Elephas maximus indicus: one gene and its partner. The protein of the gene in region 2 interacts with the protein of the main gene of each other region in a pairwise test. Links are inferred from orthologs where the notes say so. Each region holds a gene or a part of one and is shown on either strand. Other genes may lie near its edges.

What was found. The genes of interacting proteins can lie anywhere in the genome.
Region 1: the proteins of TCL1A (region 2) and TTC33 interact in binary tests that used the Homo sapiens proteins (3 or more experiments, as listed by UniProt). The two-hybrid records come from large-scale screens. The link is inferred for Elephas maximus indicus from reciprocal best matches to the Homo sapiens genes TCL1A and TTC33.

The regions. Positions count from the first base shown.
Region 1 is NC_064820.1:46,838,591-46,845,580, reverse strand, and holds the start of TTC33 (tetratricopeptide repeat protein 33), read left to right. Parts: upstream 1-3,904; 5' UTR 3,905-3,921; coding exon 3,922-3,926; exon of another isoform or gene 3,927-3,969; intron 3,970-3,974; exon of another isoform or gene 3,975-4,304; intron 4,305-5,749; exon of another isoform or gene 5,750-5,848; intron 5,849-6,990.
Region 2 is NC_064828.1:109,306,501-109,314,570, reverse strand, and holds the start of TCL1A (T-cell leukemia/lymphoma protein 1A), read left to right. Parts: upstream 1-5,061; coding exon 5,062-5,181; intron 5,182-8,070. UniProt on the Homo sapiens protein: Enhances the phosphorylation and activation of AKT1, AKT2 and AKT3. Promotes nuclear translocation of AKT1. Enhances cell proliferation, stabilizes mitochondrial membrane potential and promotes cell survival.

The DNA of each region.
Region 1 (6,990 bases), on a different chromosome or scaffold from region 2:
TAGGTTTTTTTTTTTTTTAGGTTGGCAGCTGTGCTCTTAACCACTGTGCCAGCAGGGCTCCAAACAGCATATAAGGCTGTTCAGTGAGGGAATTTACAAATTGTTCTAGGTATTTACCCTGACTGTGTCAAATCATACAAAAAATTCTTTTGTTTGAAAAATAATATTTGTTATAGTAGCTAATATTTATTGAACTGTTCCAAGTGCTGAGCACATTATAAATGTGAATAAATGTTAGGTATGACAAATTTAGAGGATTACTCGCAACTTGGAAGATGATCATGATGTCTATAAAAAGACAGCACAGGAAACATTAAATATACCAACAGGTGCATTAAGATCATAGACTAAAGTAAGTAGCAAGTGGTGGGTGCAGTGTAAAATCCTAGTAGGGGGTAGCCTTTACCAGAGCGGAGTGGATCAGTTATTTGAGAGATTTTGGAAAGACCCCTAGAAAGGGGTTGAGCTCCAAGCACTATTATCCATTTTCTGTAAACTATATCATTGCATATGGTTACTATAAACCAAGCACTATGAATGTGACTATAAATAAGACAATCTTGCTGAGGAGTTTGTTAAGGAGATACGTATTTAAAAAAAAAAAAACCTAATAGAGGTATATACAGAAGAATGCACAAGTCGTTAGTATTCAGGTTGAATTTTCAGTGGAGATGGTCATGTAAAATGACCTAGATTAAGAAACACTGTCCTCACTTGAGTGTCTTTTATGACTAATCTCTGAAGTGATATATATCATTTCTGCTCTATTTTATATGTAATACAGACCAATCCTGGTACATGTGGGACAGAACTACACCAGGTTGTGAATACCAGGCGGTAGGATCCTTGGAGGCCTTGGAAGCTGACACCTACAATCATCCATTGAGTTTCCTTATGCAGTCTTCCAAATGTTAACACATTTCATCAAACAATATAAATAAAAATCATATCTGATAATATTACCACAGATGTCATTAGAAAAGTACTGAAGTATCAAGAAGCTGTCAAGATCAGGATGATGAATGTAAGTTTTCCAAAATTCTGTTTATTACTTAGAACCTTGAATTTTATCATTAGCAACAAGTGTTGTCAATTGTTTTTCTTGAGGTAACAGGGTCCCTTTGTTCATTTTTAAGAAAGGGCCTGTCAAATAACCAGTCTGTCATTCATTCTTCTGAATGTTGTATTCTATGGGAAAAGTCTAGTTTATAGTGCAGTGTCACAGGTGTTTTCCTTGAGACAACACTGTACTTCAGAATGCAGAAGAAGTGCTTTTGAGTACTTCCCATTTTGTCACACAATGTTAAAAAGATGTTTACTTGAGTCATTTTAATAAATCATATCTTCCTATTAGTATGAAAGTTGTGACTTGGAGGACTACTAAAGTGGTCTCGGCGAAACTCAGGAGTCTGAGGCTTACACTTTGAGAATCATTGCCCCACATCGGTGGTTCTCAAAAAGGCAGGGGGAGGAGGAGATGACACCTCCCCACACTTCTAGTTGGAAATGTCTGGAGACATTTTTGGTTGTCACAACTGCAGGGTGTGTGTGTGTGTGTGTGTGTGTGTGTGCATCTACTGGGATGCCAGTAAACCAGGGAAGCTACTAAACACTCTACAATGCACAGGGCAGCCCCCGCTACAAAGAAATATTTGCCCAAAATGTCAATAGTGTGGTATTTAAGTAAATGGTCTACAAAAATTGCCTTCTCTTGCACAAGATAGCTACATGGGTAAAGTAACAACCACCTCGAGAGGCAGCATATGATCGAGAACTGGTGGTACTGAAGGGAAGAAGTCTATGCTGCACTGAAGGCACTGGCGAAAAACAAGGCCCCAGGAATTGATGGAATACCAATTGAGATGTTTAACAAACGGATGCAACACTGGAAGTACTCACTCATGTATGCCAAGAAATTCGGAAGACAGCTACCTGGCCAACCGACTGGAAGAAATCCGTATTTGTGCCCATTCCAAAGAAAACAGAACATGGAAATTATTGAACAATATCATTAATATCACATGCAAGTAAAATTTTGCTGAAGATAATTCAAAAACAGTTGCAGCAGTACATCAAGGAATTGCCAGATACTCAAGCTGGACTCAGAAGAGGACTTGGAATGAGGGATATCATTACTGATGTCAGATCTTTGCTGAAAACAGACAATATCAGAAAAATGTTTACCTGTGTTTTATGACTGTGCAAAGGCAATGAATTGTGTGAATCCTAACAAATTATGGATGACACTGTGGAGAATGGGAATTACAGAACACTTTATTGTGCTCACGTAGAACACTTTATTGTGCTCATGTAGAACCTGTACACAGACCAAGAAGTCAGTCCTTCAAGCAAAACAAGGGGATGCTACATGGTTTAAAGTCAGAAAAGGTGTGCGTCAGAGCTGTATCCTTTCACCATACTCATTCAATCTGCATACTGAGCAAATAATTCCAGAAGCTGGACTATATGAAGAACAACAGGGCATCAGGATTGGAAGAAGACTCATTAACAACCTGCGTTACGCAGATGACACAACCTTGCTTGCTCAAAGTGAAGAGTACTTGAACCACTTAAAATAATGAAGATCAAAGACCACAGCCTTCAGTATGGATTATGCCTCAACATAAAACAAAAATCCTCACAACTGGACCAATATGCAACGTCATGATAAACAGAGAAAATACTGAAGTTGTCAAAGATTTCATTTTATTTAGATCCACAATCAACATCCATGGAAGTGGCAGTCAAGAATTCAAAAAACAATTGCATTGGGCAAATCTGCTGCAAAAGATCTCCTTAAAGTGCTAAAAAGCAAAGATGTCACTTTGAGGACTAAGGTGTGCCTGACCGAAGCCATGGTATTTTTAATTGCCTCATACACATGCAAAAGGTGGACGATGAATATGGAAGATTGAAAATTGATGCCTTTGAATTATTGGAAAATAATTATGGGAAAAGAATACTGAATATACACCATTAACTGCCAGAAGAATGAACAAATCTGTCCTGGAAGAAGTTCAACCAGAAAGCTCCTTAGAATCAAGGATAGAGAGACTTGTCTCAGTACTTTGGACATGTTACTCGAGGGACCAATCCCTGGAGAAGGACGTCATGCTTGATAAAGTAGAGGGGTCAGTGAAAGAGGAAGACCCTCAATGAGATGGACTGATGCAGTGGCTGCAACGCTGGACTCAAACATAGCAACGACTGTGAAGATGGCAAGGACCGGGCAGTGTTCCGTTCTGTTGTACACAGGGTTGCTCGAGTGGGAAACGCCTCCATGGCACCTAACAACTTTTAAGCTTCCTGAACATTTATCTGTGCTACATTTGCCCACTTAGTTATTTTCAAGACATTAACCATTGTTACCTTCAGGTGATAATTCTCTGCTGGATCCAATCTGTTAGTGCCCACGTGATGCCTACAGTTCAACCCTGCCCTCCCTGACCTCGCCCTTCTTTAAACCTTTTTCAATCGAGTTTTGCTCTCTGTTCTCTGCGTCTGGCCCGCCTCCTCAGCTAGGTTGTAAACTCCTCTGAAACCCCCTAAAAATCGTCTTTCTCGCGCCTTGCTAGCTTTACCCTCCGACTGGGCGGGCCGCGCGGGAAGGCCAGGGCTGCTTCTCTCTGCGCGCACCTCAGCTAGCGCAGCCGAATTTGCTGCGCTCCCGCACTGCGGACCCTGGCCTGTCGGTCGCTCCGGGCTGCAGATGGCGCTCCCGGCCCGGACGGCCGCACTACAAATCCCCGAGGATAATGCGGCCGGGGGAGCGCAGTGGCTTCTGGGATTTGTGGTCCTAGTGCAGAGATTGGCGGACGAGAGCGCCCCCGAGTGTCGCCTCTCTCCCGCCTTCTACTCTGGGCCGTTCGGACGCCCTGAGTCGGCCAACTCCGTTTCCTAGGAAACCAGGCACTTCGGGCAATGAAGTAAGAGCTGGGCAAGATAACTTCCGCTTCCTGTGGGCAAAGGGTAAGCGGAATGTAAATACTGGACCACGGGAGTGGTCATCAGGTAACCGGGGCTGCCCGGGTCGCGGTTAAAGTTGAACGACGAGGAGGGAAACAAGGTGAATCGCAGTGTGGTTAGGAGAGAGAGAAGCTTCAAAACTCGAAATTAAGACTCTACGAGGGGTGTGGCAGAACCGAGACACTAAGGTTGGTCTCCAGAGACAAGCGAGTCGGGGATCGGGCTCCGTCTTCCTCGTTGCCTGGGCCCGCTCAACGCTTCCGAGGCGGGCGCTGCGGCTTTGACCCCCGAGTTGTGGGAGGAGAGCGAAGGAGCTTGCTTGCCACCCCGTGTGGAAGGTGTGTGGGATTGAGGGCGGGCCTAGTGAACACGCGGGTGACCTCCAGGGCAGTCTTTATTGTGCACTTTCCACATGTTTATTGTTATATCCCGGTGAAGGAAAAGCTAGTACTGGTTTCTTTCTTGTGGCGGTATCTTGGGTTAAATCATTTCTTGAATTCCTCACATCGAAACACATCCCGGTGCCCGGAAGGATTGCTTGTTAGGATTTCCGGTCGACTTTATCTTTTCGTTTCTTGCCTGGAGTGCTGCATTCGTTGAGGCAGCCGAGATGAGCGTTTTCTGACTTATGGTTGCAGAATACAATGTCGTTTTTTAGATTTTTTTTCCTTTGGCATTCATTAAATACAAATCTGTATAAACTGTTGGATTTGCGTGAAGCTCATGTGATTGTGATTTAATGATTTCTTATCCTGGTGAAAAAATGTAAATGGTTGGATATTGGCTCCTTGTGCATCTAACTATACCAGGAATACCTCTGTTATAAAAAAACTTTAATTTCATGTTCAGATAGCCTTAGAAGAACAGTGTTGTTGTTCGGTCCGGATGAGTCCACTCATAGCGACCCCCTGTGACAGAGTAGAACTGCCCCATAGGGTTTCCTAGGCTGTAATCTTTACCGGAGCTGATGGCTAGACCTCTCTCACATGGAGTCGCTGGGTCCGTTCGAATAGAAAAGCAAAACCCTTATTAACATTTCAGATATCTGAGTTAACTCAGAGCGTTGAAATTTCCAAGGTGTAAAGTGTTCCTGCATGTATTACTTCTCTCCTGTAGGACTCTCCCTTCCAGGAGGGCTAAGTTTTAGTCTTCAAAACTTTTGGCCTTCAGGCAGTGGCGTCACTAGAATTAGTGTTACCCGATGTGGTAACTCATTGTGTCACCTTCCCTCCCCCTCCCCTCCTCGTGGACCTCCTCTGGTACCAGACCATACAGAATCCTTAATAATGTTTTTTGTACTGCTACTCATAAATTGTAATTCCCATATATCACTCATTTTTTTTCTTTTAATTACTACTTCATTCTCAAAAAAGTTATTGATACAGGTTCATAAATACTAATTACCACAATATTGTAGCTAAAACACCAGAGAATTTGACAAAATCAGCAACTATAAAAACACCAGCAACGAAAACAACAGCTCTAAACTACATGATTCAAAACGTCATCGTAATTGGGTAATAATGACAACTCTAATCGGAGCGCGATACAAGGCTGAAAAAGTAAATTAGCATAGAGTTTTAACTGTGCAGGTATATTGATACATAAGCTGGGTTTACAAAAAATATTTTTGTTGCTGTAACTACAGGGATGTTCTTATAAAAAGTAATAAATTTCTGCTGAAATACTGCACAAAAGTTTTACAGATAGTCATTTTGTTGTCATCCCCGCTGACAGTGTCACCCCTCTAATGATGCGACTGCTTCAGCCATAGCGTCTTTTGTTTCTTCTCTTATAGCGCCTATCCTGTGTTGTAACTGAATGTATACTTCTGGTCTCCAGACAGTTTTGAAGAAAATCTAAAACCACAGTAATGGACTTGGTAACAGATTTATGCTTTTTAATCTCAGTAGATCGCTGATATAGATTGATATCTTTACTCATCCCTTATTGTTGCTCTTCCTATTTTCCACAGTGTCTATTTCAGATCTTTTCCATTCTTCTTAACTGCTCAGATCCATTTATTTTGAGCAGATGATTAGCCACCTACATCCCTGAGAAATGTGAAGCCATGGGATGTGAAATCCCCTACTTTCCTTTCTTCCACCACTGAACTTGCCTATGCTTTTACTCAAAAAACCAAAAATCAAACCCATTGCTTTCTAGTCAATTCTGACTCCTTAACTCCTTATTTTCTATGTTAGAGGAATGTATTCTTGTTTCTGTCTTCACAGGTAAACTTTGATTTGCTAGTGTTATCAGGCCTTCTATACCCCTAGAACTTCCTTTTGTCCTGCTTCACCAGCTTCTAATATCTAGAAGGTGTCAAGGGATTTGTAAGGAAGAACTGCAGAAACACCTGAGGTGGCAGCGTGTGTGTGTGTGTGTGTGTGTGTCTTTCATACCTGGTTGAGAACCACCACCTGAAGTCTGAACCTATCCTTGTCTTCAGCATTTATAACAATGGTAAAGTTGGAGGATAGGGGAGGGTAGTGGGAGTCTGAATGACCTATTAATCCTTTAAAAAGTATAGGTGTCTAGAATTATGCATTTTTCCTTTCCTTTCCATTCTGTTCTGCTTCCAATAATCTACAAACTTTGCTAGTGATTCGTAATGTAATTTGTCTTCAGTAAACGTACCAAGATTACATTTGGTAGTATTAAAAAGGCTTCTTACATGCCTGGAGCCTCAGCTTGCTGATATAGAAAAAAAGTTCCATTTGCAAGCTTGAAGCCAGAAAAATTGATCATCCTCATTCCCGGTTACCCTTAGGGACAGTCATAAATGTAAGACTTCTTTTTTATCTTGGCTTATCCCAATGTCTTGTGAGACCTTCCTAATGATACATTCCTTGACGTTTGTCTTCACACTGTGCCCCAACACTTCTGTTCCCCATACATCACACTTCCATTTTCAGCCATTTCTTGGTTATTCCCCAGGGTACTTGCAGTTGTCTTTAAATATATGAAATTGATTCTCCTGTGTTATGATGGGCCTAGGGAAAGGGTTTGGCCTTGTCCTCA
Region 2 (8,070 bases):
AGTCTGTCACATGTAAGTTTACATACATCTTACTCCCTTCTCCCACTTGCTCTCCCCCTATTGAGTCAGCCCTTTCAGTCTCTCGTTTCGTGCCAATTTTGCCGTCTTCCCTCTCTTTCTATCTTCCCATCCCCCCTCCAGTCAAGAGTTGCCAACATGCTCTCCAGTGTCCACCTGAACTGCTGCAATCATTTTTGAATTATCTTCAGTAATATTTCACTTGCACGTGATATTAATGATATTATTTGGTAACGTCCTCATTCAGTTGGATCACCTTTCTTTGAAATGGGCACAAGTGTAGATCTCTTCCAGTCAGTTGGCCAGGTAGCTGTCTTCCAAATTTCTCCACGTAGATGAGTGAGTGCTTCTAGCACCGCATGTGTTTGCTGAAACATCTCAGTTGGTATCCCGTCAATTCCCGGGATACTTGTTTTTCACGAATGCCTTCAGTGCAGCTTGGACTTCTTCCTAAAGTACCCCTGGTTCCTGATCATATATAATTCAGAAGGTTTTCACTGGCTAATTCTTTTCGGAAGTAGACCACCAGTCCTTATTCCTAGTCTGTCTTAGTCTGGAAGCTTAGCTGAAACCTGTCTGCCATGGATGGCCCTGCTGGTATTTGAATACTGGTGGCACAGCTTCCAGCATCGCAGCAATACGCAAGCCCCCACAGTACGACAAACTGACAGACACCTGGGGGTTCTCAAACTTCTCTAAGGTTTGAGAAGCACTTAAAACTCTGTTCAGTTTAAAGAAAGATCATAGCCATGCAGTGGCCAAAGCTATGGTCAGTCTGAGCTCTGTGCAGAATATCCTTGTCATCCCAGATTGCCCGTTAATTTAGAAATAGAATTTTATCTCTTATGGGTAAAGATTATAACTATTTTTTCAAACTGTGCTCATATGATCAACAGTCTCAATTATCCAAAATATGGCCCAGACCCAAGAATCCTTGAAAAAAGACCCCAGGTGACAAGTATGGATGCCTTAGGTTCTACATCTCAGGGCTTCTGTGTTTTACTCATTGGAGAGATTACAATCCTAATAAATTTGATGCTATGTTTCACTGCCCAGAAAAGATTGGAAGCAACAAATTTAAACTAGAGCAAAGGGAAAGATATAGACTACAGGTCAGGGTGAGGTTTACATTGAGGACCAGAACAGCTCTAAAATTTTCACGGTTATTTCGTTTTACAAACCTCATTCACACCTCAAAAACAGTAACCCAAATCTTAGGGTGTGGGATTGGCTCTCAACCCTGGCTGTTCCCCAAGCCTTATCACGCAAAGATTCTAATTTAATTGGTTTGGGTTGGGGTCGAGGATCAGGTAGTTTATCAACACTTTCCAGGTGTTTCTAATAGGCAGCCAGGATTGCACTGGCCTAGTGGTTTAGGGCCAATCAGCGTAGGGGCCCAGAGGCAGGGACACCTTAGTAACCTCTACGTAGAGTCTTTACAGCTAGCTACAATCATTGAAATTGGTTAAGAGGACCTTAATTGCCAGGATTTTCTCTTAAGAGGAAAACAGTATATATTGGAAGTGATTTTAACATAACAAAAGATAACCGGGAACTAAATGATACAGAGATACCTATTCAATTCCTGCGTCATAGTTAAAGAACTCTAGAGAGCACTGATGGCATGAGACAGACACCCACCGCCACTTCCCCCTAATTGTTCCCCTAGACCAGCACTAAATGTGCCCACGACTCACTCAGGGATCTTGTTAAAACACAGATTATGACTCAGCAGGTCTGCAGTGGGCCTCAAGGCTCTGCAATTCTCATAAGCTCCAGGTGATGCTGATGTTGCTGGCAGTGGCGTCACTAGGATTGGTGTTACTCAGTGCAATTACTCATGGTGTCACCCCTGCATGGACCTCCTCCCATACCAGACCATACAGAATCCTTTGCAATGTTTTTGTACATAAATCATAATTTTGGTATATCACTCCTTTTCCTTTAATTACTACTTTCTTCTCAAAAGAGTTATTGATATAAGTTCACAAATACTAATTACCACAATATTGTAGCTAAAACATCAGAAAATTTGACAAAATCAGAGGCTATAAAAATACCAGCAGCAACGAAAACAAGTGTGTGCTTGTAGCACCTGTGGGCAAAACCATGTGATTGAAAGCATCATTGTAATTGAGTAATAATGGCGGCTCTGACCTGAGGGCATTAACAGGCTCAAAAGTAAATTAGCATAGAGTTTCAGCCTTGTAGGTATATTGATACCTGTAAGCTGGGTTTACAAAAAATGTTTTTGTTGTTGTAACTAACTACAGTGATATTTTTATAAAAAATAATAAATTTCTACTGGAACACTGACGAAAATTTTATGGAGAGTCATTTTGGTGCCGCCCCTTCTGATGGACAATGGTTGCTGGTCTAGGGAACACACTTAGAGGAACAAGGCTCTAGATAATACTATGGCCACGACTCACCCTCAGCATCCTTCTTTGGAACCCAAACAGGAAGGATGGCTTCCTCACTCCCGAAGAGTGAATTCCACTGAGGGCCTTAATGTCCACTCTGCTCATGACATTCCTGAACTAATATCATGAGCTTGTCCAGCTTTTGTCTATTCTCACTTCCCAATAGGCAACTTCATCATGGTTGAGTTGAAAATGGGTTTAGAGCATATCTAGCTTGGTCCATTCATTACAAAAGTATGGCCCAGACGGCAGAGGTTCTGCCAAGTTCACAGGTGGTAGTAGCAAAGTCAACACTGGGTCCAAGTCAAGACATGAGGGCATCAGTTAAGGATTCTGTCAATATGAGTCAAAATAACTGTTTTGGGTTATTTTCTTCACAGAACATCCACTTGATTATTCTCGGGGGAACCTCGCAGACCATTAAAGGACAAAGTTACCAAGGAATAGACTGAAAGCCCTAAGATGATGTAGATAACATGCTGGAGGCTCCCACACACACACACATTCCCAGTTCCCCAGGACTACACAATGGCTATTGTTTCCCCTCCTGTGGAATTTCCATGAAAAAGGCTCAAAGACGCCAGAGAAACCATTAACCTTCTGGGCCATCCTTATTTTACTTTTCATTTTTTGGAACCCATTCTCAAATAATTTTCTAAGTCCCGCACAGGAATAACATATACTTTTGCTTAATACTAAGACGCCCCAGTGTGAAACTGAAGAAATACATTGTCCTTCCAAAGGGTGGTGGAGGTGCGGGGAGGGAACCTCATTCCTGGAAGATTCGCAAGCTTATCCAGCCAAAAGGCCTCTGATTCTCCAAAAGCAGAGTGAGTGCTAATTAGAACAGCTGACCCAGTGAGTCCTGGGGCAAATGAGGTGACTGGGTCAGTAGCCACACTGGCTCCTGGATGCTCCTTAATTGCCACAAGAGTCCACGCCAGAGGTGCTGCTTAAGCTGGAACTTGCTATCATTTCTGACCTCAAAGCTCTGGACCAGGCTGCGACTTCCCCCATAGAGCCTGTTCCCACCATTTTCATCTCATCTCACTCCCAGTGGCTATTTAGTCAAGGACGGTCCACAGGGAATTCAGCCTGAAAGCCAGCAGTCTGAATATTAAATGCCAACACCACTATGGGCTTCACTTGGAAAGAGCTTTGTTAGGCTTTTGTCTTCTGTTGTGCTCCCGGTAAATCCAATCATATCGCTATTACCTCAGGCTACCTCAGCTCATTCTTGGGAATTAGGCTAGCTGGATACGCGGAGAAGCAAATACTCACCTTTGCTGTCAGGGGATCAGACATCAAACTCATTTTCACCTTTACGACATTTCAAAGGATCCCAAATTATTTTCTTGGTGCCCAGTCAGAAAGGAGTCCCTGGGCAGTGCAAATGACTACTAGCCGAAAGGTTGTGGTTCCAACCCACTCAGGGGGGCCTTGAAAGAAAGCCTGGTGATCTGCTTCTGAAAGGTCACCACCTTGAAAACCCTAAGGAAGGCTAAGGAAGGCAGTTCTAATCTGCACACACAGGGTGGCCATGAGTCAGAAATGACTTGGTGGCAATTTTTTTTTTTTTTAATCAGAAAGATGGGAGAGAACTGAAAGGCCAGGCACCCAACCGTGACCAGTCATGCTATTTCAGCAAAGAGGCTGGAAATGGTTTCACATTTTTTCCCTTGTCCTTTATGTTCTTAATTGTCTTAATGGGCATGTGTTACTCCAACATGAAGTGAAATTATTTTCCTTATTTGCTGTAACTTCCAGGGACAGTTTGATCACATAACCCAGGGACTTTTCAACTCCATTGATCTTGGGGCGGAGGGGTTTCTTTCCAAGCATTCATTTTGAGCTACGCTTTCTCTAATGAATTCAGAGCCTATAAAGGGAACGGCCCATGTTTCTTCATCACCTTGTTTCACAATAGCTATTAGACAACCACAGCATCATCAAAGCCGTGGAAAATGTGTGCCTGGGCGGAGGGGGCACTTCAAGAATTGCAGTGTTGCCAAGGACACAGATTCTGTGAGCCAGGGAAGCCGAGGCCTGGGTCAGGCCGCAGGGGCTTTCAGGCCCAGAAGAGTTGGAGGGCCACTGGCTCCAGGTGCCTGGGGTCAAGGGTAGCCTGCGAGTTCAGCAGAGGCCTGGAGCCCCCAGTCCAGGGTTGGCTTGACCAGCCACACGCAGTGGTTCCGGACAGTGGGGTCCTGACGCCACAACGGCGCCTCGCGACAGCAGAAAGGACCAGGGTCATAGAGCAAGGTACCCGGCCAGCAGTGGGGTGTGGGGGCTGGGCGGGACGGCTGGCTGGGAACTCCAGGAACCCCTGGGGCTGGGGCCTGGGCCTCAGGGCTGCCCCCGATCTTACTCGAGGGCACAGCCACGCCCGCGCCACTCCTCGCCGGCTCACCCCTTTCTCCCGCCACACCCTGCCCTTTTCCGCTCCGCCCCGCCCTCCGCCCCGCCCCACTCTCCGCCTCGCGCCCCGCCCTCCTCCCGCCCCGCCACCTGGGGGCGCTGTGCGAGGTCCGCTATAAATGCGTCGGGGCCGTGCATCCCTCCGATCAGCGAGTGGCGGCGAGTGGCGCCGTGCTTGTCCTCCTTGACTGCCCCAGGCTCCATGGCCCAGCAGCGGCGCTCCAGTGCGCAGTCGGTCTTGCACCCGGACCGCCTGTGGTTCTGGGAGAAGGCCGTGTATTTGGACGAGAACCAGCACGCCTGGCTGCCCATAATCATGGAGGTACAGCCCGCTTCAGGCAGAGGCAGGCAGGACTGTATGGGCGCTCGTTGCCTTCCCGGCGGGGCCCCCCGGAGCTGGAGATGCCCCAGGCTGGGCTGGGCCTTTGAGGAGCCCCGGTCCGGCAGCGAGGGTGGTGGCAGGAAGGCTTGGAAGGGGTCTGATTAACAAAGGGCAGCCCAGGCTTCGCAGATGAAACCACTTATAGAGCAGGGTTCTGAAGGATGAGTAGGAGTTCTCCAGGCCAGGAAGGAGGGTGGTGATTACTCAAAGGTATGGAGGCTAACGGATGAGGACCCAGTGGCTCTGGCATGTGTGAATATGATCTTGGTTAAGACAGGACTTCTCTGGGCTTCAGGTTCCAAAAAAAAACCCAAACCCGTTGCCGTGGAGTTGATTCCAACTCGTAGCGACCCTATAGGACGTGGTAGAACTGCCCCGTAGGGTTTCCAAGGAGCGGCTGGTGGATTTGAACTACCGACCTTTTGGTTAGTACCTGAGCTTTTAACCTCTCTGCCAAATGAGAATAATATCTCTCTAAAGTAAGGGAGTAAGTGACTCCTACGCCTGGCCGGTTATCAGACCCTCCTGGTGTGGGCCCCAGAAATACGTGTTTTAAAAAGTACCCTCAATAGATTGATTCGGCTAGTGGTTAAGAGCTCAGGCCGCTAACTAAAAGGTCGGCAGTTTGAATCCACCGTCCGCTCCTTGGAAACCCTGTGAGGGCAGTTCTACTCTGTCCTGTAGGGTCGATATGATTCAGAATCGACTTGATGGCAGTGGGTTTGGTTTTCTGGGGCTTAAGTTTGGGAACCACTCCCAGAGGATGGGGTGTTTTATACCTTCTCTATGCTTTGGAGGAAGCCGATTTAACGCGTAATACCTTACTAAAAAGGCTGGTGTGGAATAAACGTTGACTTTGTTTTACCCCTGATGCTTTACGATGGATCCTTAGCTAATGCGAATTTCTTCTTAAAGAAATATAACTCTTTTGCAAGTGCCTTCCACCAGAGCCTTGGTTTCCCCAAAGGTGAAAAATACTGAAAATTTTCCATATGTAGAGTGAAGAAAGTATAAAAGTGAATTAAAATATAGAGTAGAACATTCATGTAATATAGCAAACAGCAAAAAGTTATTGAGTGTTGACTCTGTCCCCACTTTACAGATGATGAAACTGAGGCATAAAAATGTAAACTTGTCCAAGGTAGCACAGATAGTAGGTAAAGGGGTTGGAATTCCAGGCTCTTAACCGCCTTCTAAACTTGGTATTAATTTATATTTTAATTTCAAAAGCATGCATATATATATATATATATATATATACTTTAAAAAATCAAGTTAAATATTTACTTTTTAATTCAAATATTTGAAGAAAATTTAGGTGAATGTATTTTTTTTTTTTTAATCTCTGGAGAATATCTTCTTGAACATGACACTGAAACCAAGAACTAGACAGAGTTTTCCACAAAATCAGTATAAATTCTGCATGGAAAGTAACCCAGTAGCAAACTGAAGAGGAGTAGAGTGAGATTTGCCACACATGACTAAAAGAACCACTATTCTTCATATATAAAGGTTTACTTAAATCAATAAGAAACACTAACAAGGCAAGAATAGTGATACCCACACTTACATCTTGCAGTGTGATCTGAATAATTTTTTAACAGTGAGCATTAGTTTCTTTCACAGAAAATAAGACTATTTCCACTTTGAAAAATTGTTCATTAAACAAATGTGAGTGCTAAGTATCATGTCAGGCAGGGTTCTAGGCTCTGGGGCACACATTAAATGTGATAAAATCTCAGTGCTTGTGAAGCTGACAGTCTGCTGGGAGAGATGGATAAAAAAATAGCTCTTAAGCTGGTGGTAAGTTCTGTAGGAGAATTAGAGTGGGGTGGGAGGAGACAGTGAGTGATGTGGGGGTCTTCAGGCAAGACCCCTCTGAGGGTCTTAATGTTCTTTTGCCCGTCGTTTTCTTTGTAAACTTTCTGAATCTCCATGTTGTAGGGATGCTCTTACATAGTCATAGAGTTGGATTTGCTGAGCTCATTCATTTTGATTGGTGAATTGAACTCATTGTCAGTTACTGATATAACTGATGAGTCTGGTCTCAGTTCTGCCATATTGTTTCCTATTATGTTTGTCTCTATATACATACATTTGAGCAGAAACCAAATCAAAACCAGACCTTTAGCCACTGCGTCGATTCTGACTTACGGCAACCCCACGTGCTACAGAGTAGAACTGCTCCGTAGGGTTTTCTTGGGCTGTAGTCTTTACGAAAGCATATCTCCAGGACTGTCTTCTGTGGTGCCACAGGGCGGGTTTGAACTGCCAACCTTTAGGTTAGTATTTGAGCACAAATCGTTTGCACCACCCAAGAACTTTTATACAGTTGAGCAGAGACCTGCCTAAAAGAAGGGTGTTACCCTGCCTAGATCTGGGGGAGAATGTTCCAGGCATAGAGGACAGCAGGTGCAAGGGATCCTGAGAGCAGACATGAGTGTGGCGTGTTCGAGAAATTGAGAGGGGGCCTGTGTGGCCAGGACAGGGTGGAGAGTGAAGGACAGAGCCACAAGAGAGGAGGGAGGCAGGGGCCCGGCAGTGTGGGTTTTTGTGTGGTGTGGTAAAGATTTCCACTCATTCTGCCTGGGACTGGGCCATCAGAGGGTGTTGAGCAGGGGAGTGGTGTGGTTTTTAGACGCTCACCCTGGCTGCTGTGCAGAGAACTGACCGTGGAGCACCAGGCGGTGACTTACAGAGCTACTGCGGTAGTTCAGATGAGAGGTGCTGGTGGTGAGAGTTAGAGGTGGTGGAAAGCAGCCTGCCACCAGATCCTAGGGTCCAGGGATATCTTATTTAAAAGAAGAAATATGACAAGATAAAGAATAG